3 linked regions of the Cricetulus griseus genome follow. The main gene of each other region encodes a partner of the protein of the gene in region 2 in a complex. Links are inferred from orthologs where the notes say so. Each region holds a gene or a part of one and is shown on either strand. Other genes may lie near its edges. The genes, in order: Prkab1, Prkaa1 and Prkab2.

Region 1 (10,315 bases), on a different chromosome or scaffold from region 2:
GTCAGGTTACGCTCCCGCTCTCGTTGGAGTTCTAGCAGCCGCTGCCGGAGCAGGTAAAGCGGGGCTCGGCGAGCGCGCGCGGCCCGAGGGGCGTGGTCCGCGGTCGGTCCCGGGGGTCCCGGCCCGCCCCTTCCCGCTTCCCTGTGTCCCCTCAGACCCCCGCCATGGGCAACACGAGCAGCGAGCGCGCCGCGCTGGAGCGGCAGGGCGGCCACAAGACGGCGCGGAGGGACAGCTCGGGGGGCGCCAAGGATGGGGACAGGCCCAAGATCCTGATGGACAGTCCCGAAGACGCCGACATCTTCCACTCGGAGGAAATCAAGGTGGTGAGTCGGGGGACGTCCGAGCCCTCTTGACTCAGGTCGAGGGCAGGGCCCCTTTGCTGTGTTCCCGCCACATTCCCATCTCCACACCTGGAGGGAGCTGGCCGTGTCACAGCTCTGTTTGCTGTCCGGGAAAACCTGTGCCTAATTACCTACCAATAGCAGAGTCGCCCAGGGCTTCGTTGAACATCATTAAGGAGAAAGCAGCTCTGGGACCGAGTTTCAACTAATTAATTAATTCTTAATTAATTAAGAGCCGAGCCAGCTGTAATTGAGCACAGGCGTCTACTTTTCTCTTAGGTGTAATTGATTGCACTGCTTTGCGGGAACTTTTCCTTAGCTTCAGGGCTGACCGGCTTGTGCAAAAGTTGGGTTGGGAGTTTCAGGGTTCGTTTTGGAGGTAAAACAAGAAGGAGCACGTATGTTGAGCTGAAAAATGAAGTTGACCAGCTTGACTGCCAGAGGTGTTTGGGTCTGACACTTTTGGTGCACCCCTGCTAACTCTTTTAGATCCGGCGGTTGTGTTTGAGGGGGTCAATGGCCAAGAGTCACTCTGAACAGCAGCCAGCAGCTAACTGCTATCCGACTTCTGCATTACTGAGATAATGACCTGGACTTTAAGCAGACCAGAGTATTTTTTTTTTTTTCCAGGCCAAGCTGAAAGTTCCTGCTTGAGCCACATTCCCTTAACTACAGTGATGTGGCCAGGGCTCCCGGCCCAGTCCAAGGACATTGGAGATTCTAGTGGAAAGATCTAATTCCTTAGAATAAGTTGCAGTTAGGAAGGTTGACTCTGACCAGCATGTTACTGCCTTGTTGCCTATTAATCCCGTAACTTTAAACAGGCTAATGGCCTGGTCACTCACACTCCGATCCCCCCCATTGAGCTAGGCAGCCACATTATTGTTCTCTGGATCTTAATTTTGAGTCTAATTTGGAAGAGCCTGCATCTTGTCACTGTAACTTATTCCCTGGGCTCGCTGCTTTGGGGGAAAGGTGTGTGCTGTGATCTTTGGAGTGCTGTTTTCTCCACTGAGCTGAGATTGTCCCCACGCCTAGAAGTAATTTTGGCCCAAGGCTATTTAAGAGGAAGTAAGTATTTGTTGTGGCAGGTGTGTAGTCAGTGTGCCCTCTGCTCTCTTTGCCAGGAGCTGAGTAAACTTTCTTTTTAAGAAGGGATGGGTGTTGTTGCTGGAGACACAGGATCTGGGAGGGGAGATTTAAGTAACATTCCTTTGAATTGGCTGCCCAGTCAAGTCAGAAATTCTTCCTGTTACCCCAGTTCAGCTTTGTGGCTACAGTTAGTGGTCACTCAAAAGCACTGGTTCTGAACCTGTGGGTCACAACCCCTTTGGCAAAACTCTATGTACAAAAGAATATATTTACATTATGATTCATAACAGTAGGAAAATTACAGTTATGAAGTAACAAATAAAATAATTTTATAGTTGGGGATCACCACAACTGGAGGAACTGTGTTAAAGGGTGGGAACAGGAAAGTTGAGAACCGCTGCTCTAAAACTGTTGCTGCTCTAAAACTGTTGATCTGTAGCACAGATCCAAAGACTGAAGACATCTTAGATAAGAGCAGATCCTGTCTGCAAGTGAAGGCAGTAGGACCTTCCCTGAGCTCCCTTTGGGGCCTTTTCCCATCCTAGAAATCTAGTCTTTGGTTTTTCTTCTGTCTGAAGAGCTGTGTTTCACCCCAGGGCTGGATGTGTCCCTTTCTCTCATGTTAATAAACTCACCTTGGATTCATGGCAATCTTTTTCCAAGTAAGCCTTACAGCTTCCTCTAGAATTTTTGTGAAGTCTAATGGCAGTGATGGTAGCTAACGATTAAGCACTGACTGTGTGTCAGACCAGTCTTCACAAACTGACAGAAGTGGTTATTTTTATTATCTCCATTTTGCAGGCAGGGGAACAGATGTAAGTCGTAGTAAGTGGCAAGAGCTGCCTGACTAGAGCGTTTTGTCGCTCTTAGATAGCAGTCCTATGTGAGGAGGTTGCCTGACCCTGAGTAAATGGCTCTGCTTCTTAGGCTCCAGAGAAGGAGGAATTCCTGGCCTGGCAGCATGATCTTGAAGTGAATGATAAAGCCCCCGCCCAGGCTCGGCCAACTGTGTTTCGATGGACAGGGGGTGGAAAAGAGGTCTACTTGTCTGGATCCTTCAACAACTGGAGCAAGCTTCCACTCACAAGGAGGTAATGGGCTGGGACTCCAGTTCTCTTGTTGCTTTAGCTGTGTATATATTCTTGTTTCTAAAAGATCTCTGTGGCTGAATAGCATAAAGGATATTTTTGTAAGATGTTGAGTGAAAAAATATTTTGTTTAATGAGTTACAGAGTTCAGATCTCAAACCCTAGACGTCACTGTTTTTAAGTGCATGTTTTTTAAAAGACAACAGTATGTCAGTGGAGAATATTTCTGAGCCACACTCCGACACTCAGCTACACATTTCTTGAAAAAGTTGTTCCTGGTGCAATGGAGAGAGTGCTGGGCTGGGAACCTCAGAGGTGTAGATCTGAGTCCTTACTACCTGCACTAAATAGTCACTCTGTAAGGGACTATCGGCCCTCCCTTTCTTGCTCTTGGAAGGTTGGAAGGTACCTGCTCTGATGACATTAGCAAGGATATACTGAGAGACTTCCTCAAAAACCCAATGTGGATTCTGTCTCAAGAGCTCACCAGAGGCCACTTCTGGTAAATAAATGAAGGGAAAAACAGCACCCTGCTGTGCCATGCCTGGTGGTTGTCAGAGCCCCTGTTTTCCCATGGTTAACATTGAAGGAGGCAACCACTGGGCCCAGTTGCCTCGAGTTAGTTCAGGTCAGGCCAAGAAACAACAAGTTTATATATATGTGTGTGTGCCCTGTTACACTGGTCATCTCCCTGTTCAAGGAAAACTGACAAAGGGAAAGCTAGGCGGCTGCGTCTGTCTTTGTGGGCCCCCTTCCTGGCACCTAGGCTGCAGATTGAAAAGCATGAATTAACCATTTGTTGACTTTTCAGTGTTAGGATCCTAGGTTCCCAGTGTCTGAGCAAAGGGAGTTTTCTGGAAACCCTTGCCTCCTGCTTTATTAAGTGGCTTTCCTAGGTTGTGACCAAGAATTGTCTGAACTGGCTGAACATGTCTGCTCTCCTGCAACCGAACCCTTGGTTGTACCTGGAGTCAGAGGGCAGCCCTCTGAGCTGAAACACTTGCTTCCTCTCTTTCTTCAGCCAAAATAACTTTGTCGCCATCCTGGATCTGCCCGAAGGAGAGCATCAGTACAAATTCTTTGTGGATGGTCAGTGGACGCACGATCCTTCTGAGGTACTCTTCCTGCTGCCCCCGGCCCTCTGGTGCCCACATAGCTAACACCAACCACTTCCCCTGTGACTTCTGTCAGGTGCCTCTCCCTTCATGTGGCTCCGAGTTAGATAGCAGCAGTTGCCAGGCCATTGGTATAATTGACCAAGCGTAGCTAGCCAGGTGGTGAGACCATCCAGCCAGGAATTCTAGTCCTCTGAAAAACTCCACAGACCTTCCATGTTATGATTTCTGCCTGTCTGTCTCTTCCCAGCCAATAGTAACCAGCCAGCTTGGCACAGTTAACAACATCATTCAAGTGAAGAAAACTGACTTTGAAGTATTTGATGCTTTAATGGTGGATTCCCAAAAGTGCTCCGATGTGTCTGGTATGAACAGTTACTTTATCCCACATGTGTGCAGGCTGGGGCTGTGCAGCCTGGACATACATACTCTGTTTCCCTTGCCTCTCACACTTGAGCAAGAGCTGCCCGACCAGGTGGACGGTTGTAGCTCTCTGGGCCACAGAAGTTCATTTCTAATTCTGTCAGCTCTGGCTGTTGGCGTTTAACCCCAAAAAGTCACTGCCCCGTCTTGTGGGCTATTCTATAGTTCCACTTGGCTATAGGAACAGAACCAAACTTGATATTATGCCCCAGGTGAGGCTGAAGAGGCCCTAGAAGACACTTGGGTCAGTAATGAGCTAGCACCAGGGAAGCTGCCAGCTCACTTCCCACTCTAGTGCCTGGAGAATTGCAGGCTGACAGGTGATAAACGACACCTCAATGACCTTGGCTGTCATTTGTGCAATCCATTAGCACCTTGTCAGGCTTCTGAGAGAAAGTGGCTGCCTATAGAAAACAGACTGCATAACACAACTCTCCTTTCTGGAAGCCAGTTCTGCTTGGTCCTGGTAAACAATCTTATACCCATGGAGCTTTCAGGTGACTGCGGTCCACCCACACCCAATAGGAAGAGACCACCTGGAATGTCACAGGGAGTTATTGCAGATGGCGGCAGCAGCTGCAGTTTCTCCTCTTGTATGCAGAGGCTGCTTCCTGGGCCCTATGGGAGACAGTAAAATGAGTCTTGAGAAAACAGATTCTGTTCCGTTTACAGATTTCCCACCATCTCCTGGGTGGGTCTGGAGGTTCTGTTTCTGGGATCTCTCACTATTTGTTTGTGACACCACAGCTGTAAAGTGACTGGTGGGCTTCACTGGCTGTGGCTAACAGGTCAGGTTGTGGATCTGGGTTAGAAATCTAAAACCAGTGCTTTTTTGTTGGGATCACTGGCTGTCCCCATATGACCAGTCACATGTTTCCAAATAGGCATGGAGGCAGTGTGCACACTACTCCCACTGGCTGACATGGAACTTGATTTGCACACTGAAGCATGCTGTCTCTGCTGCTGAGCCCTCTCCAGCTCTAATGCCTAATACCGTGTGCTTACTCCTCATGGCTCCGTTTCCTGAATGCTTTTCTCAGTGTTTCTGCTGTAATGTGTGGTTGGATCATGTAAGGGGAACATGACCTAGAAAATGATGTTGAGAAAGTTGGCAGTTCTGGACCAGCTTAAGGATCAGGTGACCAGAACCCATCCTGATGTTTGGATAATGGCTCAGTACCTCAGCCAGCCAGATGTCACTTTGAGCTGTTTCTGACACGCACTTTCAGAGACTTCCTACTGTGCCTATATAGTTAAGATACCCCGACCTGTCTGGGTGGTGGTGGTGCAACCCGAGTCCCAGCACTCGGGAGGCAGAGGTAGGCAGATCTCTGTGGGTTCCAGGCTAGCCTGGTCTGGTCTACAGAGTGAGTTCCAGGACAGGCTCCAAAGAAACCCTGTCTCAAAAAACCAAAAAAATAAAAAAAGGAATCCCAGACCTGAGAGTGTGGAGCCAAAGAGCCTCTACTTACTTATTTTTGATATGCCAGTACCTCATTAAACCTATTTTATTCTGCCTGGTAGAGCTTGTAGCTTAGGCTAGGCCACTTTTCCCTATTTTGAGCCTTGAACTTGTGGCGTTTGTCAAACCCAGCCTAAAGTAAGAAGGAAGCCTTTCTTCTGACAGGTGAGGTTAGGTCATTAGGAATGGCCCCCCGCTAGTGTGACCCAGACTGTCTTTTCATTGGAGCATCTCAGTTTGCCATTGAGAGAAATGAGCACCCAAATTCCAAAGGTGTTCTTTTTTTGTTTTTTTTAAATCTCTCTGTTCTTCCTTTTTGGAGCTTGAGTGTCTTTGAAGAAAATACAGATCTGTATTGAAGGAACACGGACAGAAAGCTAGATGATGATACCATAATCAAATGCAACTCCCAGAGCTTATGGTCTCAGCATGTTTTGTTACCATCTCCCAACAGAGCTGTCCAGCTCCCCTCCAGGACCTTACCATCAGGAGCCTTACATCTCTAAACCAGAAGAGCGGTTCAAAGCCCCACCCATCCTCCCTCCACACCTGCTGCAGGTCATCCTGAACAAGGACACGGGCATTTCTGTGAGTACTTTGTCCAGATCTCCTTCGTGGTCATGTTCATCTGTTTTCTTTTCTGCCCACTTCTTACGAAGAGCTCTTCTTACAAAGAGCTCATGTGTTTTCCATTGTTGGGAACTGCCATGGTCCTCTGACACTGAGAACATAAGCCACTGGTGAAAGGTTGACACCCGTTATATTTAAATTTCATGAGAAAATATTTAACCACCTCTTCTTGGTCAGCTAGATCCTGGAATTCCTCCTTCAGCCATAGCATTTTAGAATTGAATTTTAATTACCAAGTGTTTCGGAAATATCGGTCCTCCTGGGTCAGAATTTGAGCTATCTTAACACATTTCCTCTGAAAAACTGTGCAGTGGCCTGCAGAAGGGAAACATGGAGCCTGGCCCTTTAGCAGCCAGCTGTTTCTAACAATGCCCTCAAGATGACTGACCCACTCTCAGGGTGCCTACACTAGAACATGCTCCAGTCTCACTACCCATCCCCAGCAGTCACTGGGGATTAAGTTTCCAGTACATGAAGTTTAGGGGACACAGTCAAACCGTAGCAGGTGCTAAAATAACCACGCCACTTGACCCTCCACCCAGAAGTAAACTCCACATGGCAGTGAAATCAACATGACTTTGAGGTGGCTTCCCTCAGAGAAGTCACTGCTGGGCCACCAGGGCAGTTTAAAGACTCCCCTTTCTTAGGCACGGAGAGTCCAAGTACAGAACAGCTGGTGTGGTCATCTTTGTGTATCCAGGAGAGGCTGCTGGGCAGAACCAGCAAACTTCAGACTGACCCTGTGTCCAGTGCTAAGTTGGCAACACCTCAAACGTGCAGCCAGTGGGGTCTTCAGGGACCTTTAGCCGCTGTCCTGGAAGATTTGGGTGAGACTTGCTCCCCTCCCTCTTCTAAAACAGTTCAGAGGTTGGAAGACATTCAGCACCCTCCACAGCTAGGAAGGCAAGGGAGACATGACTAGGGATAACCCGTGCCAGGCCTCCTCTGACACAGGCAACCCTGGGCTCTAACAGACCTGTTTCCAGTTAGGGAATTGTTCTCCATGTGGTCTTATTTAAGCTTCATGGTAAAGAGGCTGAGGTACAGAGACAAATGTTGAGTGGCATCCCAAAGAGAGCGCTGAGCTCACTGTCTTGGAGGGTTTGAGAAATCTAGCACATTGTTGTGTGATCCACCTGCTCTTGCAATTGTTTCTCATATCCAGAGAGATTCTGTACCTTTTGACCAGTATCTTTCCTGTAACTATTGCTCTGTCTCCTATTTTGCACATATGGTTTTGTCTTCCTGTGCCTGGCTTATTTAATGTCCACAGAATTCATCCATATTGTTACAAATGACAGAATCTCCTTCCTTCTTAAGACTGAGCCACACATCATTGTTGCAGTTTCTTTTCCTGTTGCTGTAATAAAATATTTGACAAAAGCAATTTAAGAGAGAAAGGGTATATTTGGATTTGTAGTTCAGGGTTTAGTTTATCCTAACAGGGAAAACAGCAGTGGGAGTTTAAGGGAGGTGGTCTCATTGCATCCATACTCATCCATAATAAATGCGCCGTGTCCCATCCAGGAAATGCTGTTGAGGTGGCAGTTAATACTGCCACCTCATTTGAAATCCACTTATCCATGGTTTGTTGTTCCACATCTTGGCTATTGTGAATAGTGCTGCAGTGAACATGGGAGTATTGATGTCTCTCCAGATTTCATTTCCTTTGGATGCACTCATGCATTGCATGCACAGACTCATGGGTTGTGTGTGTCTAACTTAAAGGATCATACATAATGTTTTCCATATATGATACCGATTGATGGCTTATTAACAGCACAGAGTAATCTTAGTGGTTTTTAACCACACACAGAAAATGATGAGTATGTTACTGATCCAGTGTAGGAATTCCACAGAACTTGCATGTCCCAAGCATGATGTGCTCAAAGTATTAGTTAACTTTTAAAAAACGGCAGATTAACTGTAGTTCTTGGAAACCTCCCAGCAGCAGTTGACTGAAGCAGCATTTAGCTGAGGCTCTCGTTCTCCTCCTGCCAGGCCTGCCCAGCAGGGGCTCTCAGGGAATGTGTGACAGAGCTGTTAGCCTCTGAGATGCTCAGCCTGACTGGAGGACAAGTGCAGTGCTGGGAAGCTCGGCTGCCAGGGCAGGGCTAGGACTAAGACCTGGCTTCCCAGCTCCTCCACCTCCACCCACCCCTTCCCCAAACCACAATGTACTCTTCTGTCCCCAGACTCTGTCTAACTGCTGCAGCTCATTAGGATGCAGCCTGCCCCTCCCAAGTCCACACTCAGAGCCCTCAAGATGACCGAGAACAGCATGGCGAAGGCCGTCCAGCTTCGTTTTGGAAGGCCTGGTCACACCTCCTCAGTTCTTGCCTTCACCCTTCTGGGATTCCTGGATTGTTGAATGATGTGAACACACCCTTCCCTTGAGACCTTGACTTTGAGCCACCACAGACTAATTGCCTATAGTTAGTTAGTTAGTTAGTTTGTTTGTTTGTTTGTTTGTTTGTTTTTCAGTGCATTTTCTTTAAAGTTGGGAATGTGCTATCTGGCCTCTTGAGGTGGAAAGGTGTGGCAAGGCATAGTCCATGTGTTCACTTCCAGAGTCACCTACTGTTATCTGCTTCATTACGATTTTCCCATCTGCTTCTCAGGGCCATTTAGTGCACAGCATATCTTGTGTTCCATGAAAGCATTTCAGTGGGTCCTTGGTCTTCTACCTCTTCTGTGTAAGGATGGGGCTGGGCAAGCTTGACCAGAGTATTCCATTGTGTTCTGGTACATGGTAGTTCCAACCTTCTCAACTCAACTGCTGTCTCCACAGCCCTTCTACTGCCCAGCTTGGGAAGACAGGTCAAGCTGAGAGCCAGTCTGCTCTTTGGCTGCCTGGCCTGTGCCATGAAGTAAGGGAAGAAAATCGTCTTGACTTCAAGTCTTATTTGCTTATGTCTCCCTTTGTTCCCTCAGTGTGATCCAGCGCTGCTTCCAGAGCCCAACCACGTCATGCTGAACCACCTGTATGCACTCTCCATCAAGGTAATGACTTGTCTGGCCTTACAGTACTTTATGAGCATGTGCTCTGAGGACCCATCATGCCAGGATTGGGGTGTGACAGGCCCTGGCTCAGGCTCTGCCCAGGAGTTTCTGTTTTCCTTAAGTTGTGGTGATTCTCACGTTCTCTGAAGTTGGAGTACCTGACTGTCCTGTCTTGGTCATCTCCACCCTCATAGGACGGAGTGATGGTGCTTAGTGCAACCCACCGGTACAAGAAGAAGTATGTCACCACCCTCCTCTATAAGCCCATCTGAGATGCTAAGAGCCAGCCGTGGACCACAGGGACAGCAGGCAGCACTGGGCTCTCCACGTGCATGTAGACCCTACTTCACTCTCTGGGACATCTTACCCCTCCCTAGTCCTCCTTGAAGGTTTGTCCAGGCACAGCCTCTAGAAGAGTCCAGAAATGGGATGGGATGGCTGCCTGCAGTCCCAGAACTGCAGTGCATGAGGCTAGTGTACTCCAGACATCATCCCCTCAACTGGCCAGAGATGTCTAAAGCCAGACCTGAATGCTGGCACCTTGCTAGTAAAAACTGGGGAGCAGGGACTGAAGCCACACAAAAGTCTTCATCGTCTGCATCCAAGGTTGATGGCCTGTCCCTGCTGAAGCCTGGCCATGGATGTAAGCAATATTCAATCTTGCCTGTCCTTCCAAATCAAAGCAGTAGATTGTAGAATCTATGGGAACTCAGATGTCTGATTTCCAGATGCAGCTTTGCAATTGTTGCCCGACACTGTGTGCACTAAGGACCTTTTATAACTACAGTGGCTGGCTCTCCAGTCCTACCTAAGGCAATAAGTCACCCGGATGAGACTGTAGATCATGTGACTACACTCAGCAATAATTGTTCTCAACACAAACTTCAAAACCCACTGCCGTATTCTCCATTAAACTGAATGATCCTGAGGACTGGCCATCATGGGAGGTTGTTCACGCTTTCCTTCAACTGTAATGGTGACAGTGTTTCCATGACACCTTTGTCAAAGCACTCACCCTCCTTTCAGTTCCAGCATGTGCTATTTAGCTGGGGACCCATGTCTCTAATGAGCAAAGGATGTCACAGTGATTGCTATTGCTTGTTCTAGAAGAACTTGAACCCCTACAGCAGCCTGCTATATTCCCAGCAGGACGATGCC
Region 2 (10,315 bases):
ATATTACCAGCCAAACCTGGTACTGACATATTAAAATTACTCCTCCTGCAGTGGGCAAACATGAATTGACTGGACATAAAGTCGCTGTGAAGATACTCAACCGGCAGAAGATCCGAAGCCTTGATGTGGTCGGGAAGATCCGAAGGGAGATCCAGAACTTGAAGCTTTTCCGGCACCCTCACATAATTAAACTGTAAGCCCAGCATTGTCACACTTGGTCCCATCATCTGCTCCTGCCCTTTGTTAAGCTGCCTAACCTGGAAAACCACAGCGGGCCTGGCCTACTTCCTGTGCTGTCTGAGGCTGGAGGTTGCTTTCTGCCAATTACAAAGCCCGCCCTCCTGTTTTAGCGTAATTCATATCACGCTTATTCTTGTTCTTCCCGTTGTCTGACAGAGGCCCTTCTGATAACGCTTTGTGCTTCTGTTTGTATGTAAAGAACCGACCATTGATTTTATAGTAAAATTCTCTGTGGCAGGTGCCAGGCCCTATGTTTGATCTCCAGTTCCACCCAAAAGAAAAAAAGAGGCAAAGATTTCTTGACCTCCAGATTTCAAATTTCTACATGTTGGGAATTAGGCTCGTGAGAGACTGCACTAGAAATGTTTTTTCCCTACCCTGCTTGTACTTGACAGACATACCAGAATCTGAGGAATCTAGTATTGCAGGAGGGCAGTGAGCCTCATTGTTGTTTTGAGGTTGGCACCATGAGGCTATAGGTAACTTATTTCTTACCCATGTGTTACCGTGTAGGCTAGAATTTAAAGCTGCTTGGACTTCTGTTGAACTGGCCAGCTCAAATTGTTTGTTTTTTATCTCTCATTTATTAAAGTGTTTTGCAATATCATATATGCCGATGTCCCTAAATGTACATTTATTGCTTTGAACTCTGGGCCCTATGCCCACTGCTTACTTTATATCCCCACTGGGATGTCCTGGTCAAGTTTCATCTCTTTATCACCTCTCACCATTGTGGTTAATTGCCACTTAACCCCTGTCGAAAACTTAAGAGCATCTTAACAGTCCTATTTATTCCTCTTCATACCTTCCCTCCATCTCTTCCTTCAGAGTGGACCGCTTGTCTATCTCTGTGCTTTCTTACCATCACATTGGTCTGGACCACCTACCCTCTCATGGGCTGCTGGAGGAGCCTCAGCTGCTTCTTAGCATTCAGTCAGTTCTTCACACAGCTGCCACTTGTTCTTTGAATATGCAGATCATGTGACTGCTAGCATTGAAAACATCCCATAGCTTTTTGTCTTCAAGTAAAAGCCAAAAGTCTCTACCTTCCTTGCTGTGACATCTCTGGCCTCCAGTGACTGACTCCACATCCTGTTCTCTCCTGGCTTGTTTTGCTCCTGCCTTACTATGAGCATGCCCAGCAGGCTCTGTCCTGGGCCCTTGCCCCTTGCCCCTTGCCCCTTGCCCCTTGCCCCTTGCCCCTTGCCCTTGCTTGCCCTTGCCCTTGCCCTTGCCCCTTGCCCTTGCCCTTGCCCTTGCCCCTTGCCCTTGCCCCTTGCCCCTTGCCCCTTGCCCCTTGCCCCTTGCCCCTTGCCCCTTGCTCTTCCCTCTGCCTGGCTCCCCTTCCTCCCGGGGAATGTAGTCTGCTCCTTCCTTCCTTCCCTCCTTCCTTCCTTCCTTCCTTCCTTCCTTCCTTCCTTCCTTCCTTCCTTCCTTCCGGCTCTGCTAGGTTGTGCTCTGGCCTTCCTGGAGAACTCTGTACAGAAGAGATTTTGCTTCCTTTTCTCCATTGCATGCTCTGCACTACATAATTAATGCTTATTTACTGTCTGCTTCCTGGCCCCAGGATCAAGAGCAGCACAGAAACAGGACACTGGCTTTGTTCCCCACAGTCTTGTAGCTTCTAGCACAGTACCCGGTGTATTATAGGTGCTTAGTGACTATTGAATGGATGAATACACGTTTTAATATTAGTAGATAAATGTTTTCTCTCACCAGGTACCAGGTCATCAGTACACCATCTGATATTTTCATGGTGATGGAATATGTCTCAGGAGGAGAGCTATTTGATTATATCTGTAAAAATGGAAGGGTAAGCCATTCTCATTTAATCCTGTACATATTTTGTAACTCCCCTGTATCCCTTATTTGCATCAAAATGTCAGAAAGCAATTTTCAGAGGTCTGTTTAGTAGCCAGTTCCCTTAGTCATATTTGCTTAAACTTATAGGCTGCTTAGAGGTAGAAAGAAGGACCTCATTGATGGGCCCCTGAGCCCACTTATACAGACATAGATAATAAGTTATATATTTGTTCAAGGTCACATGACTTATTAGTGATAAGAGTTCACCTAAATCCCTAAAATGTATACTCTTCAGATTTATGTTTTTGGGTATACAAACCTTTTTCCTTTTTTTGAGACAGGCTCTTACTATGTCATCTTAGCTGGCCTGGAACTCAATCTGTAGATCAGACTAGCTTTTGATGCAAGGAGACCTCCCTGCTTCTGCCTCCCGAGTGCTGGGATTAAAGGCATGCTCAGCCTATGAATGCTGGGATTAAAAGTGCGCCTAGCCAAAACAAACCTTTTTTTTTTTTTTCCAAAAGAAAAGGTATTTTTATTTCAGTAAAAAACCATAATAATACAGTTGACTTCCTACTAAAAGCACTAATGAAGCACTCAGGCAAACATTCCTTAATATATTCTGAAGTTTGATACCAACAATCTATGATGCTCAGGTCCCCCCTGTATAATGGTTCACTATACAAAACTTTTTAATATGCAGCCAGGCATTGGTGGAGCAGGCCTTTTATCCCAGTACTCGGGAGGCAAGGGGATCTCTGTGAGTTTGAGGCCAGCCTGGTCTCCAGAGCGAGTGCTAGGATAGGCTCCAAAGCTACACAGAGAAACCCTGTCTTGAAAAACCAAAACAAAAAACAAAAAACAAAACAACAAAAACAAACTTTTTAATATGCATCTTAAACTTTATAAGTATCCCTTAAAATATATATATATTATTAAATACCAAAGATGTAGTAGGACTTGTTGTTAACCTGGCCATATTTAAGTTGCATCTGCTCTTTGGTCTGGACTCTGATGTACTTGGAACAGTAAGAACAGGCTTCATGGAGGGCTTAGGTGTTAGAGTCAAAGACTTTGGTGTTGGAAGGACTGTGGAGACATTTAAGTTATAGATATGAATACTGAGCACTGTCTCCTGCCCATACCCGGCCTTAGGTTATGGGATTTATACCTTCTAAAAGACCCACACCTGGCACTGAGAAAAGAACTTGGCCTGCTCTCAGTCTAAAGTTATGTGCGTTATCCATTCATTTGCTTTACATAGTGTTTCTCTTTAATCAGAATAATAACTTACTAACCAATTTAATCTTTACTTATTTCTCAACACGGTTAATTTCTACTTAAAGCATTCCCTTTCTCATCCTTCAAAGCCCCACTCCTGCCCCCTAGAGGAATTCTTCCTAAAATAACCACTGCCTTCTTTATCTTTTTTCTTCTGCTTGTCATTTCCAGTCATTTTGCACTACATTATGGGTTGTTTGTTAGTTTTATGTTTTAAATGCTGAATTTTCAGCTGTCCTGTTTCTGTATTTCAGATATCTGCCTTATTTTCTGAAATTTTTAGACAGCCTGCTTGTTTGACTTCCCCTTACCTGGTTGAGAAACACATTTTGGTTTTAATTGTCTTTAGATTTCTGCACTGTTCTGTTCTCGGTCCTGCTTATCCTCCCCACCCCCCTTTTTCCTGTTTTTCATAACTCTTCCTCAGATTTGGTGATTCTTGACTGTCCATGTAAATGTCAGAATGAAGTTCCAAATGCCAAGCTCATAGACATGTGAGACTTATTGGTTGGTGGCTTTTCCCATAAGTTGAGTTGTTATTTTGGGTAGGGTAAATCATTTGCTAACAATCATAAGTATTTTTCTTCTTCATTCGATTGGATATTTTCTATTTTGTTGACAGTAGTAGTTTAGCTGTTGGAACTGAGCTGGGAGTAGGGGTCAAGTCTCTTCTGTTAGTGTGCCAATTGTCACTTAGTGGGCATCTTCCCTACATTGCCCTGTTCCTGCTGTGGTGATTTCTTTCTCTAGACCTTGGTTTTGCTTCTCTCTTTGTGCTCAGTCTGTCTTCATCTGTTGTTCAAGCACTTCTCTTGAGGGCTGCTGCCTCTCGGTCTTTTTGTTTTATGGGCCCTGTGCATTGCTGATAACATCTAGTACTGTTACCACATACTCCATGTGATCTCATCAGCTGAAATGAGCATGGCTCTGTTCATCTTCCTTTAGTCTCTGCTATTCTTTGTACTGTATTTCTCTAAGTATAATACTTTTCATTTTGTAGTCTTTCTACTTATTTTACCTCTTATATTATTAGTTAATTCTTCTCATCCTCTTTCATACATTTTTTTTATAAACATCTACTGAAACAAATGAAGGCATTAGATTGCAAAAACATTAACATATTTTTCTTGAGGAAGGATGTCTTACACTTCAGTAGCTATTTTAATTTTGCATCCCAAGAAATGGTTTATCTTTGTCCCCACATTATCCATGCATTGAAGGTGTAGAATTCTGGATTTAGGATGCCCACTCATGACCTGCCAGAGGATTGCATATGAGAGTCCTTGCCTAGGGGATCTGTGGCTTATTTATTAAATGCACTGTCCTGGAGCAGATGTAAACCAGTAGTGGTTATTACTTGATGAGCATACATCAGAAAATATAGGGAAGATTTTTGAAGATTATTTTAAAAAGATTATATTTAAACATTTTAATTGTAGTGTAAGATTTTTTTAAACACACAAAAGGAAAAAGAATTAAGGGTTTTGTTTTGTTTAGATAAAAGCATCTTGGGCCTGAAGAGATGGCTCAGCAGTCATGAGGGTGTGCTGTTCTCTCAGAGGTCTGGAGTTTGGTTCTTAACACCCATGTTGGTGACTCACGACTGTCTCTTGACTCTAGATCCAGAGGCTCCAGTGTCCTTACAGTTCTGGCCTCTGTACACACACACACACACACACACACACACACACACACACACACACCCTTAAAAATACCTTAAATTTCAGAACACAGTCTATGGTTACTTTGTATTTAATTTACAGTGCTTTAAGTAGTAACCCCATCCCAACAGCACTTTCTGTATTCTTTTCCTTTCCTTTCATTCTTGGGCAGTTTCATCCATGTGAGTGTGCATTCTGTTTATTCTCACTCCTATGATCGCTTCTCTCTCCCACTCCTGTCACTCCCCTTCCTTCCTACAGGCCTCTTTCTTGCTTGCATGACTTTTTGTTTTGTTTGGCGATTGACCGAGTCTGACTAGGACTGTCGGTTTGACCATGGGTTTGCATCTGTCCATTGGAGCATGTTCTGTGTCACTCTGACCTTTTTCTCTCCACTGTTACACTGATGTGTTTTTGTTTTTTTTAACTGTTGAATTTTTGTCAACTAGAATAGGGCTTTCCTTTCATTCATTTCTGTATCATGAATGTCTAACCTGTATAGCATATTGAAAGTGTTCAATAAATATTTATTAAAAGAATAAAGGATTAAACATCACTAACTTAGAGCCAACAGCATGCCTAGTTTCAGGTAGATGTTGAAACTACTAGTCCTAGCCCATGAACTACAGAAGACGACAGGTTTTTTTAGTGCAGTCTGTGCAGGTGATAGCATCAGAAAGTTGAGCTGCTGATCTGGGTCCCCGTAACCTCCTGGCATTTCAGTTTAGTGTTCCAGTCAGTTTAGTGTTTGCCTGCATTTCTTCCCCATTTCAAAAGTACCTCATGGGTGACATTCACTTGGAAGGTTTCATGCTTTGGCAGTTTATAGGCTGGAGAATTATAAGTTTCCATTGAAACTTGTATTACTTAATATAGTACATAGCTTAAGATACTGCTCTACTTTTCCTAGTTGGATGAAAAGGAAAGTCGACGTCTGTTCCAGCAGATCCTTTCTGGTGTGGATTATTGTCACAGGCACATGGTGGTCCACAGGGACCTGAAACCTGAAAACGTCCTGCTTGATGCACACATGAATGCAAAGATAGCTGATTTCGGTAAGGACATTTTGACCTATTCCAGGAGTATACGTAGCCGCCTTCAGTTGTGTCTGTGGGTTATGCTGAGAATCCCATCTTGTAAATGAGCATGCAAAAGGGAAAAACACTGAGTTCCTCTCTTCAAAACTGAGTATAAAGAGATTTAATTATTTTGTGAACATGTACACATGCAGTCGCATGCCTGAGCACACACAAACCTCCCCCCCCCACACACACACATGTGTGCACACTTGGGCACACGCAGCACTCCCACACATGCATGTTTACATGTACCCAGAATCATATACAAATGGCAGAGGACATCTTTGGGGGTTGTTTCTGTTCTTCCACCATGGGGGTCTCACAGACTAAACTCAGGCTGTCAGGTTTGGTGGGAAGCACCTTTGTCTGCTGAGCCATCTTGCCAGCCATAAAATTCAGTTTTGTGATAGTAAATCTTTCAAATTGTCAACATTAGAGATTTGAAACAAAGTGACTTTATATCTAATATATTCTTTTGGTCAGGTATGGAGAAAATGGAAAGTAAGTGGGGTGGAATTATTGAAAAAATTGAAATCTAGAAAGAAAACTTTTAAATATTTAAATGCTTTAAAATTGAATTTCAGATATGGTCACACATGCCTCGAACCCTGTATCCCAGAGATGGAGGCTACATAGTAAGGCCCTCTTTCATGAAAGAAAAGAGAATAAAATACAGAGATTATAGGTTCCGGTGACCATTCTGGGCTTGGGTTTTGTTTTTATAGAACAGAGCAGGACTGGTAGAAATCTTTCTATCTCTCTGAGATTATTTTGCCTACCAATATCTATCTTGAAAGTTAAGCATTTCACATTTATTCTAGTAAACAAAGCCATCACTAGTTTAATACATACTCATTAAACTCTAGTTATAGAAACGAATTGTGCATTTTTGTATAAGGGTAGAACATTTAGGAGGTAAAGTCTGTGATCACATTGAAGCAAAGAAAAAATAAATGGTGGCTAATCTTGTTATCATAAACTTGGCTTTGTTGTAAAATGGACTTTCAGTTTTGTCCATGGGGAACCTTGAGTGGCCGTTGTTTGTCTTTTCAGGTCTTTCAAACATGATGTCAGATGGTGAATTTTTAAGAACAAGCTGTGGCTCACCCAATTACGCTGCACCGGAAGTAATTTCAGGAAGGTAGTGTTTGATAGTATGATACTTTTTATGTATTTGTAGTACTTATTTCTTTTTAGATTTTATTAGTCTATATTGTCACATTTAATACTAATGAAGGAAGAGAGAAATATTTTCTCACTTGCAAATTTTGCATTCTAAGAATAATATACAAGGAACAGGAGAGGTGGCTCTGTGGTTAAGAGCACTTACTGCTCTTCTAGAGGACTGGAGTTTGGGTCTCAGCACCCATATTTTGGGTGGCTTACAACTGGCTGTAACTTACCTCCAGGAGACCCAAAGCACGCTTTTGGTTTCTGCAAGCAGGTGCATGCATGTGTGTATACACCACAAACAGACAGACAGACAGACAGACAGACAGACACACACACATACACACACACACACACACACACACACACACACACACACACACACACACACACACACACACACACAAATAAAAATAAATTTTATAAAAAATGTAAGTGGATAAATTAGCAAATCCATTTATAGACAAAAATGTTGGTTTGCAAGTCATGTTAAAGTAGTTAGGATGAAGTACTTTAATTTTTTCCTTTGGTGGAAGAATTTAAAGCAAGTCAGTTGTAAAGGTAGATAGGTAAGTTGCTGAAAACCTGACTAGCAAACAACTTTCTCGAGAGAAATGGCTAACCTGACAAAAAATAAAAAATGAGCATTATAAGAGGTTCATGCTTGTAATTCTAGAGGTTGAGATTATTCGTTGATATCCAAGAAAAACAAAACAAACAAAACACCCAGGCAGAAAGCAAAACAGAGTTACAAGTATAATGTAATGTAAAGTTTCATAATTATTCAAATAGATGGCATCTGTGTAGTAGCTTCATATTTTATGAGGAAAGAAAGTGTCTTAGGAAATTGAATTAAAGAAGGTGGTCCTCCAGAATTGGAAGTCAGGCAGACGGGCTGGATGTAGTGAGCATTGCACATGTTTTGAGGTGGGACCATATACACGTAGACCCTGTATCAGGAAAAAGCGAGGTGGGGAAAGGGAGAGAGGGAGAAAGTCAGATTCACTTGCATTCAGTCTTGCTCTGGATCTGCTAGATACTGCAACATAAGAATGCTGATCTTGGCTGGGTGGTGGTGGCACACGTGTTTAATCCCAGAACTCAGAAGGCAGAGGTAGGCAGATCTGTGACTTTGAGGCCAGCCTGGTTTACAGAGCAAGTTCCAAGACAGCCAGGGCTACTCAGAGAAACCCTGTCTCAAAAAACCAATCAAACAAGAAAATTCATTTGTGTTTTCTATCTTAGTTCCTTTGGTATGAAAATATGCAAGACCTAGATACAGTGGTATATATAATTATATAAAAAGTGATGCATTATGAGCAGGCATACATAAAATGAGCTATTAGCGAAATCTGTCCAGTTTGCATAGTCAAAAATATGCAAGACCTAGATACAGTGGTATATATAATTATATTAAAAGTGATGCATTATGAGCAGGCATACATAAAATGAGCTATTAGCGAAATCTGTCCAGTTTGCATAGTCAGTCTTTGAGGTCTGGATGAATAGAAACACTTATTTTCAAAAAAGTTTTTATTGATATTGTAATAGTTTATTTTACATGTTTTCCCCCTAAAGCCAGACTCTGAATGCATGATTCAACTTTTTTGCAGTGAGTTAAGATACTCACTTGTCTCCAGCTCCCCAAACGTGGGTGTCAGTTGTGGGGTTTGGGCAGTCTTTGGGTGTCTCCAGCCCTTACCAGGTTTTGACCTGGGAGGAATGACAAACTCAGTGAGTTGGTCTTGAGTATAAGTTTTACTTCACACTTATGTCAAAGCAACACACAGCATAAACAAACAATCCTAAGAACCACAGACAATAGGCTCACAGCAGGGAGTACCTCTCCTGCAGTGGCCCTAGGTTTAGGGCTGGGACTTCCATTCCTCTGGATTCAGGACAGCGAGTCTCCTGAGGGCCTGGTGTGGAGTCTGGCTCAGAACCGGCAGCACTCAGCTTGATGGACTGGTTTGTCTTAGGTTAACGGAGGAGAGCTCCAGGACATAGAGTCGTGGTACACTCTAAAATTCCTAGTTCTGAGCTGGGCCTTAAATAATTCGCTAAATTGTGCTAATCACACTTTGCCACACTTCACACATTTTCACTCTTATCTACAGCGGCTGGGCTGCGTAGTGGGCCTATACTCCCTTTCCTTTAATCTTTCTTCAGCCAAGCCTTTGCCTGCCTGGTTGTAGCCTCTGTGCTAATCTCCAGCCAGGCCTTTGCCTGCCTGGTTACAAGGCTCCTTACAATGGGGCCGCTGGAAGTGAATGAACTGGCTTTTGGAGCCCATTCCCTTTGGAGGGATACCTTGTTCAGCCTAGATACAGGGGAGAGGGGCCTCGGTCCTGCCCCAAATGATGTGACAGACTTTGACCCTTCTGATTGGAAGGCTTCACCCTCTCTGGGAGTGGATGGCGGGTGGGATGGGGAGGTGGAGGGGCAAGAGGGAGGGTGGGAGGGAGAGGGAACTGGGATTGATATGTAAAATAAGATTGCATTTAAATAAAAAAGTTGTGTGTGTGTGTGGGGAGATACTTATCTCCAGAGTGCTTCAAGGAGAAGTTTAAAGTACTCTGTGAATTCCACTTACTTTGGCTTGCTCTACAGCCTCAAGCTCTTGAATTTTGATGTGAGGGTTTTAGGAGAAATGGGTGAAATGGGTTCAGAGTCAGGCACTACAGAATTGAATCTTGGTCCAGTGAGATGACTCAGCTGGGAAAGCGCTTCCTGCCAAGTGTGATGACCAGAGTTTGATCCCTGAAACTTACTTAAAGGTCGAAGGAGAGAACTGACTCCACAACTTGTCATTCACCTCCACACTCACTGTGGGTGTGCACAGATATACACATGGCACATACACATTTTACCGCATGCGCGCGTGTGCACACACACATGCGCACATGGAATAAAATTTATTTTAAAAAAGTATCTTATCTCCATGGCTCAAATTCAACATTGATCATGAGCCTTATTGGGTTTTATTGATAGGACCCTTTAAGGGTCATAGTAAGGCAGTAAAACAATTTTACCCATGGCTCAATATTGACAAAACACCATAACTTGTAAAAGGCAATACTG
Region 3 (10,315 bases), on a different chromosome or scaffold from region 2:
AATGCTTGGCTTGCATTTATCTGTAAAACGGAAGTGTCAAGATACTTGAAGAAAATATTTTCTTTGAATCCTGAGTGGGTTAAATACTATTCAGTCAGTGGTAACTAGTGACCCACTCCACAGTCAAACATTTAAAAGAAAGAGGCAAGAAAAAAAGCATCTTGTTAATACTTGGTGCAAAGAGCAAAACAGTGCGTGGTTATGAACACAGGGGTAGTTAAAGTTCCTCACCTTACACATCTTTAAGGGGGAATCTAGAATGTGCATCTATGAACTGCATGAACTCAGGTCTAAAGGAGAGGTTGGGTAATGAATGAGGTACACATGGCTGCCATAATAACCCAAGACTATAGGACTCCCTAGACTGGAGAAGAACCTCTTAAGAACCGCTGGTCAAAAGCCTGAGCATCTTTAATAGCTGTTAAAACTGATGGATTTTTTTTTAATTAAAGAAAAAAGGTAGGCATATAAAACTCTTTCAGGGATGAAAGATATGGAAGGCTCCCTAATTCTACATGACAAACTGTCTGCTCTGATGAAGAACAGCTGGAAACAGGGCCAAGCCTGGCGGAAGCCCGTTAGCATGTGCCATACAGTCAATCAATATACAGGGCCAAACTAAAACACAAAGATAGGCATTTCTCTTAATACTGAGCCACTGCTTTTGTTTAGACATCAAAACAAGTTGTAATAAAGTGTGTTGAGCCCGTGCTGGGCTAAAAAGGAGACCTCCAGTCTCCAAGGTGAGTCTAATCCCACACAACTTTTCAAGAGGGTTTCTCACCTTACTGGGTCATGTGTGAGATCTGAGGGAAACTATTAAACAGGGTACATAAAGTGAGGGTTCTTTGTGGGGCATCTAGTGTCATATAAAAACACGGTAGATTGTGTCACATACCATGAAACACAGAATCAATCCATGCAAGGAAAGCCACCCTCCAACGAGGCAGCTGGAGTAGGGCAGCAGCCTGGCACACTGCTGACCCTCTGACACCAGGGAACAGTGGCAGAACCTCTGCCTGACAAGGATCCTAGGAGTTTGCTATTCTTTCATTTTAGGAAAAGAAGCTTCTGTATACTCATTCCTGCAGCCGCAGCCTCCCTCTCAGGCCCTGGCAACTACCCACAGGCAGAGAACCTAGACAGCTGGGCTAGGAGGCTTCCAGTAACCTTCCCCTCATATGCATATATATGGTTTTGTTTTTCTTAAAATAAACTCCATGAACTCATAAAGCTCTCATCTGCAATCAAATGCAAAAGCAGAGCCCCCTACTCAGAGGCTCTGAAACACACAGATCAACCTCAACACAAATCAGCCTTCCAGCCTCAGAGGAGACCGGGTCAGTTCAAAGGCAAGGGAGACGCTTCTCCAGAATCCTTGGAGGCAAGGAGTGATGTCCTCTTCAAATGGGCTTATAGAGCAGCGTGGTGACATACTTCTTCTTGTAGCGATGGGTTGCACTAAGGACCATCACACTGTCCTGCAGGGGAGAAAAGCACATACAGCTAGTTCGTTAATTTGTGTGGCTGCTGGGTCTTACCAGCCATCAGTCTTCCACAGACACTCACTGTCTTGCTAAAATACTCCAATAAAAGCCATTTAATGGAGGGAAGGGTTACTTTGGCTCACAGCTCTGGGCTGTAGTCCATTATACCAGGGAAGCCAAGGCATCAGGAAGCTGAAGCAGTTGACACATTGCACATTTGTTAAGCATACTTTCTCCCACTTTATCCAGCCGAGGACACCCTGCCCAGGGAATGGTCTGCCCACAGTTAAGATGGGTCTTCCTATACCAATTAATGTATTCAATATAATTCCCCATAGGTATACTCAGACTCACACCTCAGGTTGTTGTAAATTTTTTCAACACAATTTTTCAACACTAACCAACACATTTACTTCTCAAGAGGCAGTCTGAAATAAAAGAGGCTGGCTTGGCTGTCAAATCTTACTCAGTTCCAGTCCAGTCTCCGGTTGTCGTGGTATCGGTTGGCAGCCTTGAGGAGTCTATATATGGTCTCTATGTCCCACCGCCCCCTTTAAAACTTCTTCATACAAAGGATAATAGCTACCCTTAAAGGGGTTCTGATTACAAGATCAGATGAAGTATCTGATACATAAAAGGCCATGAAGAAATACTATTTTACAGTTTTATCATTCCCCTTCTCATTTCAAATTACAATATTAGGCCTATGCCTAGCAAGGAAAAAAAGTGCTATCAACCATTCCCAGAACAAAATATTAAATGCAGTAAAAGGGAAATGATCCTTCTCAATGCTCATTCCTAAGGCCTGAAGCAGGTCCAATTGCCACTTAACGTCAAAGATGAACTGTGTGACTCAGAGAGCACTGTTGGAGTTCCTATCTAACCTTAAAAGTACAGCAGCTTCCTGAGACAGCCCATCTGACAGGTCAATTCCAAATGGCCAAACAAGCTGAGAACCCAAGTGGAGCTGAAGAGGCAGCCCCGTCCCTTGTATCACAGCCCCGTCCCTTGTATCACACAGGCACCAACTTTCAGGATGTATGAGAGCATGGTTTGCAACAGAAGAGATGACCAGGGACACCAACTGACAGCTACAGAGCAGTCACAGGAGGAAAAACTCAACCAGATCTCAAAGAACCCCAAAAGTCCAACATAGAGACCAGTGCAGCTAGCTGTCTTCCTTTACCCTGCATTACCTACAATGACGGTGTCCAGGACTAAGACTCTGGCTGGACTGTGCTGAGACAGACTGACAAGGTGGGAGCAGGCAGGGAAACTCAGCTCCACGAGAGCTGCAGATTTGGAGCAGGTGAAAGACAAGCATCTGGGAGAAGACCTTCATGGTAACAGACAGGAAAGAGCAGGGGGTGGGGGTTAAGAGGACTGAATCTCAGTCTGTCTTATACTTACTGGCAATCTGACCTTCTCTGAGTCTTAGTTTCTTTATCTACAAAACAGGGGTTAAAAATAATACTTCTCAAGGTTACTATGAAAATGAAGTTCAGTACATTAAAATTTTATAGACACCCACACACTCTATTAAAGGCAGCTCTATCAGTGGCCTCCCTGTTCTGTTCTCACCGCACATCTAAGCAACCTGAGCAGCTTCCAGAGAAATGGCTGGGGGTCCCCTAGGTGCCTGCATATACTCAGACTCAGGAAGGATACCTCTCAATCTGTTGCTCACCAACTGCTCCAAGGAGTTCCCTCAAGGACCGGCTTAGCCAGCCACAGAACTACATACCTTTATGCTAACATTCAAGCCACAAAGATACTAAAGCAACAGAGAAACTAAGGACTCTAGGGAAAGGGTGGGAAAAACATAGACGTCTGGTAAAACCAACTCCCTATCTACTATACAAGCGATAGAAACGTGTGGTATACACAAGCAGGGCATCTCATTGCAGCTGATTCCATATCTTAGGAAGCTCTACTGTCTTACTCAAGAACTTGTTGAAGGAAGCTATACCTGATTTTCTGCACATGGAATCCAACTACCTGAACTCCAACTTAAGTAAACAGGTGGTACAAAGGTTCCAGCCACCCACAGACACTGGGAAGCAGAAAGGTCCCCATCACTGACAGTTCAGCTAGCTTGAGCCCAGAACCAAAAACAAATAATTTGTTTGATGGGTGGTGGTGTGCACACCTTTAATCCCAGCACTTGGGAGGCAGAGTCAGGTGAATCTCAGTGAGTTCAAGGCCAGCCTGGTCTACAAAGCAAGTTCCAGGACAGCTAGAGCTATTACACAGAGAAACCCTGTCTGAGGGGTGGGGGAAGCTTCAAAGGAGACTGAAGTTTAAAATCAAACAGCCTTGAGGTATGAAAAGACGGCTCTTCTGTAACTTGACTGTCAGTGTCAACTGCAGCTTTAAAAGCCGCAGAAAGCAAGTTACCACCGAAAAGCATGTGTGACTCTTACCCTTCCACTCGGGAGGCTGTGGAGCGTCGCGGCCACCACTTACCTTAATGGACAGCGCATAGAGATGGTTCAGCATAACATGATTGGGTTCAGGAAGTAAGGCTGGGTCACACTAGGAGAAAAAACAGCCCCACCCCCCACAAATGTGATTAAATGCAGACAAAACCAAGTTAACTGTTCCTTTGAACTGTTAAGAACTCTAAATAGGTAACACTTTGTCTCCTATGAATTATGTATTCCCACATCATAAAATCTGGAAAAATCCTAAATCTAAGAGTGAAATGCTAAGCCCCAACATCTGCTAACTTTCCTTAATAGAATTAAAACAAAAACCTTGCTGACAGGTATAGATGGTTTGGGAATCAACCATCAATTAAGTAAAATAGAGATAAAATTTACTTACATAAAAAGTTGTGAATTCTGTATAACCCCTAGTGAGAGTACCCTTATCTTGTGATAGACTAGAAGTCATAGTAGACATTAATTCCAGCATAGTTTGGTTCTGATTTTACTAGAAACAGAAACAACTATAAATTCCGCTATTGGTACCTAAAGTTCAGTCTTGGAAAAAGTATTCTACAGTGCTGCTGACATGCACATGGCTTATTTCATTGCCTTGACAAAGCTGGGTCCTAATTCCAGCCCCAAGATTCCTGAAGTTTGGCCTCAATGGTCCTAAGATTCCCCAGACGCTTTAGCAACCTGCTCAGGATACTCACTGAAATATTAGTGTCCTTGTTAAGAATAACTTGGAGTAGGTGAGGGGGCAGAATGGGTGGGGATTTGAATCTCTCCTCAGATCGAAACACATACATTTCTTGACCATAAGGCCCTGGGGGTGAGCTGGATAGGTCTGAAAAATATTCATGCAAACGTGAAGGAAAGTTGAAGGGTTAGTAATAACGCATGAGGAAAACTATCAACACAGCCATTAATCTTAAATGTAATATAGGTCCTGAAGCAACGGACTTGTGACCTACTGGCCTGTAACTGTAAGCGAGCAAAGGAAATGTCTGAGTTGTCCTGAACATGGACCAGGAAGATTCCCAACAAGGCAACATGATGTAAGGAAGTGATGAGAGGCCAGCACCTAGGCTCCAGGAAACCAACTCCATTTGTCAGCGATATGTCCTTGGACAGATCCCTTTAATATGGTCAGTTTCCTCATCCTCAAGATAAAAATCTTCCCAAGTCATAGTGCTTTTGAAAAAAATCAAAGTGATAGTAGAAATAAAGATGCTCTGTGAACTCAATGTGAAAAGATTAGATTTCATTTTATTTCTACCAAAGTAACAGACAACAACGTTATACACTCTAAGTCTACAATGATTACAGCAGACAGAACACACTGTAGCTGTAGTCAAGGAAGTGTAGATGTAAGCCACAAAAAATACCACTTCATACTCAGTGGGATGGCTGCCGCTGAAATGGCAAGTACTGGGAAACACTGGCAAATACTGTGGCTTCAAACTACAGTATTTCCACCACTGGTAGAAATGAACAATAGTGCAACCACTTTGGAAAACAGTATAGTCATCCTCAAACAGTGAAACTTTGTGACCCAGTAATTACAATATTGGGTTTATCACCTAAGATAAAACATAAGCTACCCCCCCCAAAAAAAAAAATCTGACCATGAGTGTTCTTAAGCAAAATTTGTAAGAGCTCCAAGCAGAAAACAAATGTCTGTCGACAAGGGATGGACAACCAAGAAGGAACTGTCATACCGTGGACTTCTATTCAGCCACAAACAAGCAAAGTACTGATACATGTTTCAACAAGGATGAAAGCCCCAGAAGCCTGCTAAATGAAAGAAGCCACATGGTGCATGGTTACATTTGTATGAACTGTCCAGAACAGGCAAATGCATATGGCAGAAGCTTTGTGACTGACACAGGGCAGAGAGGAGAAAGAGATGGGTTTTAAAATTCAATAATCAAAAAAATAAATAAATAAAAGGATAAATTTTACAATTAAAAAATATGTGTTTTATGGTACCGGAATTCTACTTAAAAAATGAAAAGCATTCAGGTTAAATTTACAAAAATTAAATGAACTATGTTTTCTTTGTTTCACAATTTTAAAGTTCCAAAGAAAAGATTTTAGTAAGTCTATTTTAATAACTCAAATTTGCTTCAACATATAAGGCAAAAGGAAAGAAGTAGCAACAACATTGTATTAAATATCCACAAACACCATTGGTAAATAACACAGGACAATTTTCAAGTGCTGTCCATGGCACTAAAAAATCCAAGTAGGACATTGAAAAGTTATGTACATGCCTACACCCATTATCTGTATATTCCTAATAAATGGATTCTATGCCTTACATCACTGGATTAGGAAACTGGGTGAACCCGAAAGTGTTTTAGTCTTCCCATTACATAATTATGATTGACTGTCAAATATTCTTTGGTTACTTTGCAGATCATAATATAATCATAGTCCTAGTGGCCTCAGAATATAAACCTTTTAAGATCACCACCCCTCCAGCCAATAAGAATGCTCACCATAACTTTCTGAGTTTATATAATGAAACATTTTTTTTTTCTAAATTGGTAGTTACTGTGCTATGGACAATTTGTCCCTTGTCCTTGAGATTCTGCTATGTGCTCTACTTCAGACAATATGACAGAGGCTCACTGAGGGTCCAAGCCCTCAATTTTACTGCTGGGAGTCAGTTGCACGATGGCATAACAAGTAGCAGAGGCAGACTTTGTATGCAAGAGGCCATATGCTCAGTGCAGAAAGTGTGCAATTCTCCAGGCAGGCACAACTCCATCATACAGTAATGAGATAGTAACTATGGATATGGTTTGCAAAACGTGCCTCTGCTACTACAGCGAACAAGCACAGCTATAAAGACTTTGGGGAAAGTGGTATTACACCAAACAAAAATAAACAGGACTTTCACCCTGTATATTCAACTCCATGGAGAACAGCTATTGGTTTGTTTTTTTCTCTCTTTTCTCTTTTTCCCTCAGCAACAATTACACTTGTAGGCTCTCCTAAAACCATAATTGTCAGCTGAGCTCTCAAACTAGCTGATTCAGGTTAGGAAGACGTAGCCAGCCTTTACAGGTAATATTACCAGATGCTAATGGAAAAGTGTGAAATCTTACTGGAAACAGCTTTCAAAACCACAGGCTATGGGTGGGTTATATAAAAGCAAAATGGAAAACAGTGTATCCAAGTAAGAAAGGCAGACATTATACCAAGGGATTTGTGTTAAAGTGGGGTGTGTAGATGGTGTGATTATAAGATTCCTGATAAAACAAGAAACCACTTTGGGAAAGAAATATGCATTGTAAGAAAGAGAAAGCAATAGTGCAAAATTACCTCGACAAGATGTCTCAGAGCTTTCCATGGAATCTAACTTTAAAGCATCGAATACTTCAAAATCAGATTTCTTGACATGGATCAAATTATTAATTGTGCCAAGCTGACTGGTAACCACAGGCTGAAACAGTGAATAAAAAAAAAAAAAAATGATTGGATTCCCTTTTCAAATCCATCTTCTTCACCCAACCTCCACTCTACTTTTAGGAAAAATCTCTACTAGAGAGGGCTGTTGCCTACTGAATCAGAGGGCAGTAAGTCATAGTGAGGCCACTGAGGCTTCCCTGCAAATCAAGGCCTTACCTCTGATGGATCATGAACCCACTGTCCATCCACAAAGAACTTGTACTGGTGCTCTCCCTCTGGAAGATCCAGGATGGCAACAAAGTCATTATGACTAGGGAAGAAAACAGAAGGTCAAACTGGCCAAGTTCTTTAAAGAAGACAGAATGGAGAAAAGGGCAATGATGGCACCATCACAATCACCTTCCACATTCCTATGCTATACAGCCCTTGTGCCCCAACCCCCTGCAAAGTATAAATCCATCCTCTTTTTCTGTATCACTCAAGCCATGTACCTGTCAACCTCTCCCAATAACTTTATTCTTAACTAATCTGTGTGCGTGCTTGCACCAGGGTGTGGGTGTGAAGTGTGGGGTGTGGGGTGTGGGGTATGGGTGTAGGGTGTGGGGTGGTGTTGGGGTTGGGGTCAGAGGATTGATTGCCAAAATATTTTCTCTTAGTAAACTATTTTGTTTCAGCAGAACAGAACCTTGGGGCTGGGGAGATGGGCTCAGCCAGGAAGAGTGCCCGAGAGCTTGAGGACCTGAGTTTGAATCCTCAGTAGCCACATCAAAAGCTGGGCATGGCTACACATGCTTGTAACTCCAGCACTGGGGAGTAGAGAAAGCAGACCCAGAGAAACTGCTGCCAGTAAAGCTAGCTGAAATGGAGAAAATCTGGTTCAGTGAGTTTGTCTCAAGGTTAGAAGTCATAGAGGAAGATACTCAGGTCTTGCTGTGGCCTCCACATGTATATACATGGGCATACCTGACTGAATGTACATGTATGCACATATACATGTACACACACACACACACACACACACACACACACACACACACACACACACACACAGAGCAGAGCCCTCACAAGTATAAATAAGGTAAAAGGTAATATTTCAGGGTACTCTTTTCATATTTTGGTGAGCCTTTTCTCGAAAATAACCTATTATATAAAAGGTCACTCTGACAACCACATAAATCATTCACTACTGCTTTGCCAGCAATGAACTGGCATATACTTACAATATCATAATGCATTTTGCTTTAATACAGAAATCAAAGCAATGGGAATTTGCTAGTTGCAGACTTCCTCTGGACAAGAAATGGCTTGAGAAGCACAGTCCTGAAGAAATGCACCCATAATGCTGTTAGAGACTCCCCAGAGGCCTACTCTCTCCCCTGAGAAAGGGAATCAGGTGTCTACTCCTGCACTCTATAGATGCAGCGGAGACGCGTGTCCTCACCTCTTAATCAGTGGAATCTTGGTGCTCCAATTGTTGAAGGACCCAGAGATGAAGACCTCCTTGCCCCCTTCAGACCAACGGATAACAGTAGGCCGGGCCTGCTGGGTGGGCTTCACAGAATCATCCAAGTCCTGCTGCCAGGGTACAAACTCTTTTTCCCCGGGGAGCTGTAAGAAGGAGTAGGTCATCCCTAGAATAAATTATGACCCAAGGTTTTTTAAGAGGTAAGTTTCCCTGGGGTATTAAAGGTTCTAGGTTTCAACTAAAGATAGCAACCCTAATTCTAGCAATTAAATCAAGAGTTTTAACAAACTACAGAAAAGAACTAATATAGGGTCCAAAATGGTCAAATGGCTTATATCCTAGCATAGCCTAAATCACAACCTACTGCCCAGTGTGCGCATATCATTTTCTTTGCAGAACTTCTCTGGATCACCCCTCAAACAAACAAACAAAACCCTCCAAACCCTTCCTCCAGTCTCATTTGTGTGTAGCCAATTAAGATACACTTCTGACGGTCTCTTTTTTTTTTTTTTTTTTTTTTTTTTTTTTGGTTTTTCGAGACAGGGTTTCTCTGTGTAGCTTTGGAGCCTATCCTGGCACTCGCTCTGGAGACCAGGCTGGCCTCAAACTCACAGAGATCTGCCTGCCTGACGGCCTCTTAAGAGAAAAAAAAAATGTAAGAAAGTCAAGTATGGTTCTTTAAAAGAAAATCAAGCCAGATACATATTTTTTTCAGAAGCAAACAGGTCTCGATTGTCAATTGCAATTAAAGTTATAGATACCAAAATTCCTAAGTAGTTAACAATGCTGTTTTAGCTACTAGGTTATACAACGGAACATTAAAGGTGGAGATGTAGTTCCGTGTAGAGCTCTTTCCTACCAAGCACGAGGCTGACGGTTTCATCTCCAACACCATCATCTATCAATCGACATAAATTCCAAAGCAAGACCACCGATTCAGTATGGCTGAAATGGTTATGAGACCTTACTTGCTAACTGAGGCCAGGTATATATAATTGCCCCAAGAAGATGGATGATATTTTGGAGCTCTGTGTGCACAGGATCAACAGCAGCTTCCTTGAGCAAAAGCAGATCCATTACTAAACAGGGTTTATAGGATTCTGAGAAATATGAATTTCTTAGTTTCTTTCCATCACCAACCTTCAGGAAAAGTGTGGGCAAACTGTAACCAGTGAGCCAGACAGCTTTTTACAAAGCTTTTGTTTGGAAACAGCCTCTCACTTGTTTACTGCCATCCACAACTTTCTGTCTCAGTGGGCGGCAGACCTGGGGAGCTATGACACACTGTGTGACCCACAGAGTCTAAATTATTTATTATTTGTTCTTTGACAGAAAAGGTTTGATAATCCCTACTTTCATTGGCTTCAGGGACTGGAATAAGACTGTATGGCATCAAGTCAAACATTACATACAACACAGTAAAGGTTAGAGAAAGAAAAGACTAGCTGATTTGGGCTTTTCCCTGCTTTATCTAAAATGAAAAAATTTACCTTTCATTCTGTCTTCCAATAGTT

What was found.
Region 1: the proteins of Prkaa1 (region 2) and Prkab1 are in contact, whole or in part, in a crystal structure (PDB 6C9H), measured with the Homo sapiens proteins. The link is inferred for Cricetulus griseus from reciprocal best matches to the Homo sapiens genes PRKAA1 and PRKAB1. Residues at the interface, in NP_006242.5 of Homo sapiens: Gly20, Val22, Lys23, Ile24, Thr32, Lys40, Lys42, Asn59, Arg60, Ile63, Arg64, Val69, Ile72, Arg73, Ile76, Gln77, Val93, Ser95, Thr96, Pro97, Ser98, Asp99, Ile100, Phe101, Met145, Met175, Ser176, Asp177, Gly178, Glu179; in NP_006244.2 of Homo sapiens: Pro79, Val81, Arg83, Leu103, Pro104, Thr106, Val113, Ile115, Asp159, Phe160, Glu161, Val162, Phe163, Ala165, Leu166, Met167, Val168, Asp169, Ser170, Gln171, Arg201, Ala202, Pro203, Pro204, Ile205, Leu206, Pro207, Pro208, His209, Leu210.
Region 3: the proteins of Prkaa1 (region 2) and Prkab2 are in contact, whole or in part, in a crystal structure (PDB 4RER), measured with the Homo sapiens proteins. The link is inferred for Cricetulus griseus from reciprocal best matches to the Homo sapiens genes PRKAA1 and PRKAB2. Residues at the interface, in NP_006242.5 of Homo sapiens: Gly20, Val22, Lys40, Lys42, Asn59, Arg60, Gln61, Lys62, Val69, Arg73, Val93, Ile94, Ser95, Thr96, Pro97, Ser98, Asp99, Ile100, Met145, Met175, Ser176, Asp177, Gly178, Glu179, Phe180, Arg199, Leu200, Ala202, Pro204, Glu205; in NP_005390.1 of Homo sapiens: Val80, Arg82, Ser84, Ser108, His109, Asp111, Ile115, Ser138, Asp159, Phe160, Glu161, Val162, Ala165, Leu166, Ser182, Ser184, Gly190, Gln191, Glu192, Met193, Tyr194, Ala195, Phe196, Glu199, Arg201, Lys203, Ser204, Pro205, Pro206, Ile207.

What each region holds. Positions count from the first base shown.
Region 1 is NC_048597.1:96,094,253-96,104,567, reverse strand, and holds part of Prkab1 (5'-AMP-activated protein kinase subunit beta-1), read left to right. Parts: 5' UTR 1-53; intron 54-155; 5' UTR 156-164; coding exon 165-326; intron 327-2,363; coding exon 2,364-2,527; intron 2,528-3,545; coding exon 3,546-3,639; intron 3,640-3,889; coding exon 3,890-4,004; intron 4,005-5,978; coding exon 5,979-6,112; intron 6,113-9,088; coding exon 9,089-9,157; intron 9,158-9,351; coding exon 9,352-9,429; 3' UTR 9,430-10,315. UniProt on the Homo sapiens protein: Non-catalytic subunit of AMP-activated protein kinase (AMPK), an energy sensor protein kinase that plays a key role in regulating cellular energy metabolism.
Region 2 is NC_048595.1:339,142,568-339,152,882, forward strand, and holds part of Prkaa1 (5'-AMP-activated protein kinase catalytic subunit alpha-1), read left to right. Parts: intron 1-51; coding exon 52-193; intron 194-1,959; coding exon 1,960-2,053; intron 2,054-5,895; coding exon 5,896-6,040; intron 6,041-7,117; coding exon 7,118-7,205; intron 7,206-10,315. UniProt on the Homo sapiens protein: Catalytic subunit of AMP-activated protein kinase (AMPK), an energy sensor protein kinase that plays a key role in regulating cellular energy metabolism.
Region 3 is NW_023276806.1:58,809,209-58,819,523, forward strand, and holds part of Prkab2 (5'-AMP-activated protein kinase subunit beta-2), read right to left. Parts: intron 8,945-10,315; coding exon 8,778-8,944; intron 7,647-8,777; coding exon 7,553-7,646; intron 7,371-7,552; coding exon 7,250-7,370; intron 4,764-7,249; coding exon 4,630-4,763; intron 4,023-4,629; coding exon 3,954-4,022; intron 2,935-3,953; coding exon of another isoform or gene 2,898-2,934; intron 1,482-2,897; coding exon 1,404-1,481; 3' UTR 1-1,403. UniProt on the Homo sapiens protein: Non-catalytic subunit of AMP-activated protein kinase (AMPK), an energy sensor protein kinase that plays a key role in regulating cellular energy metabolism.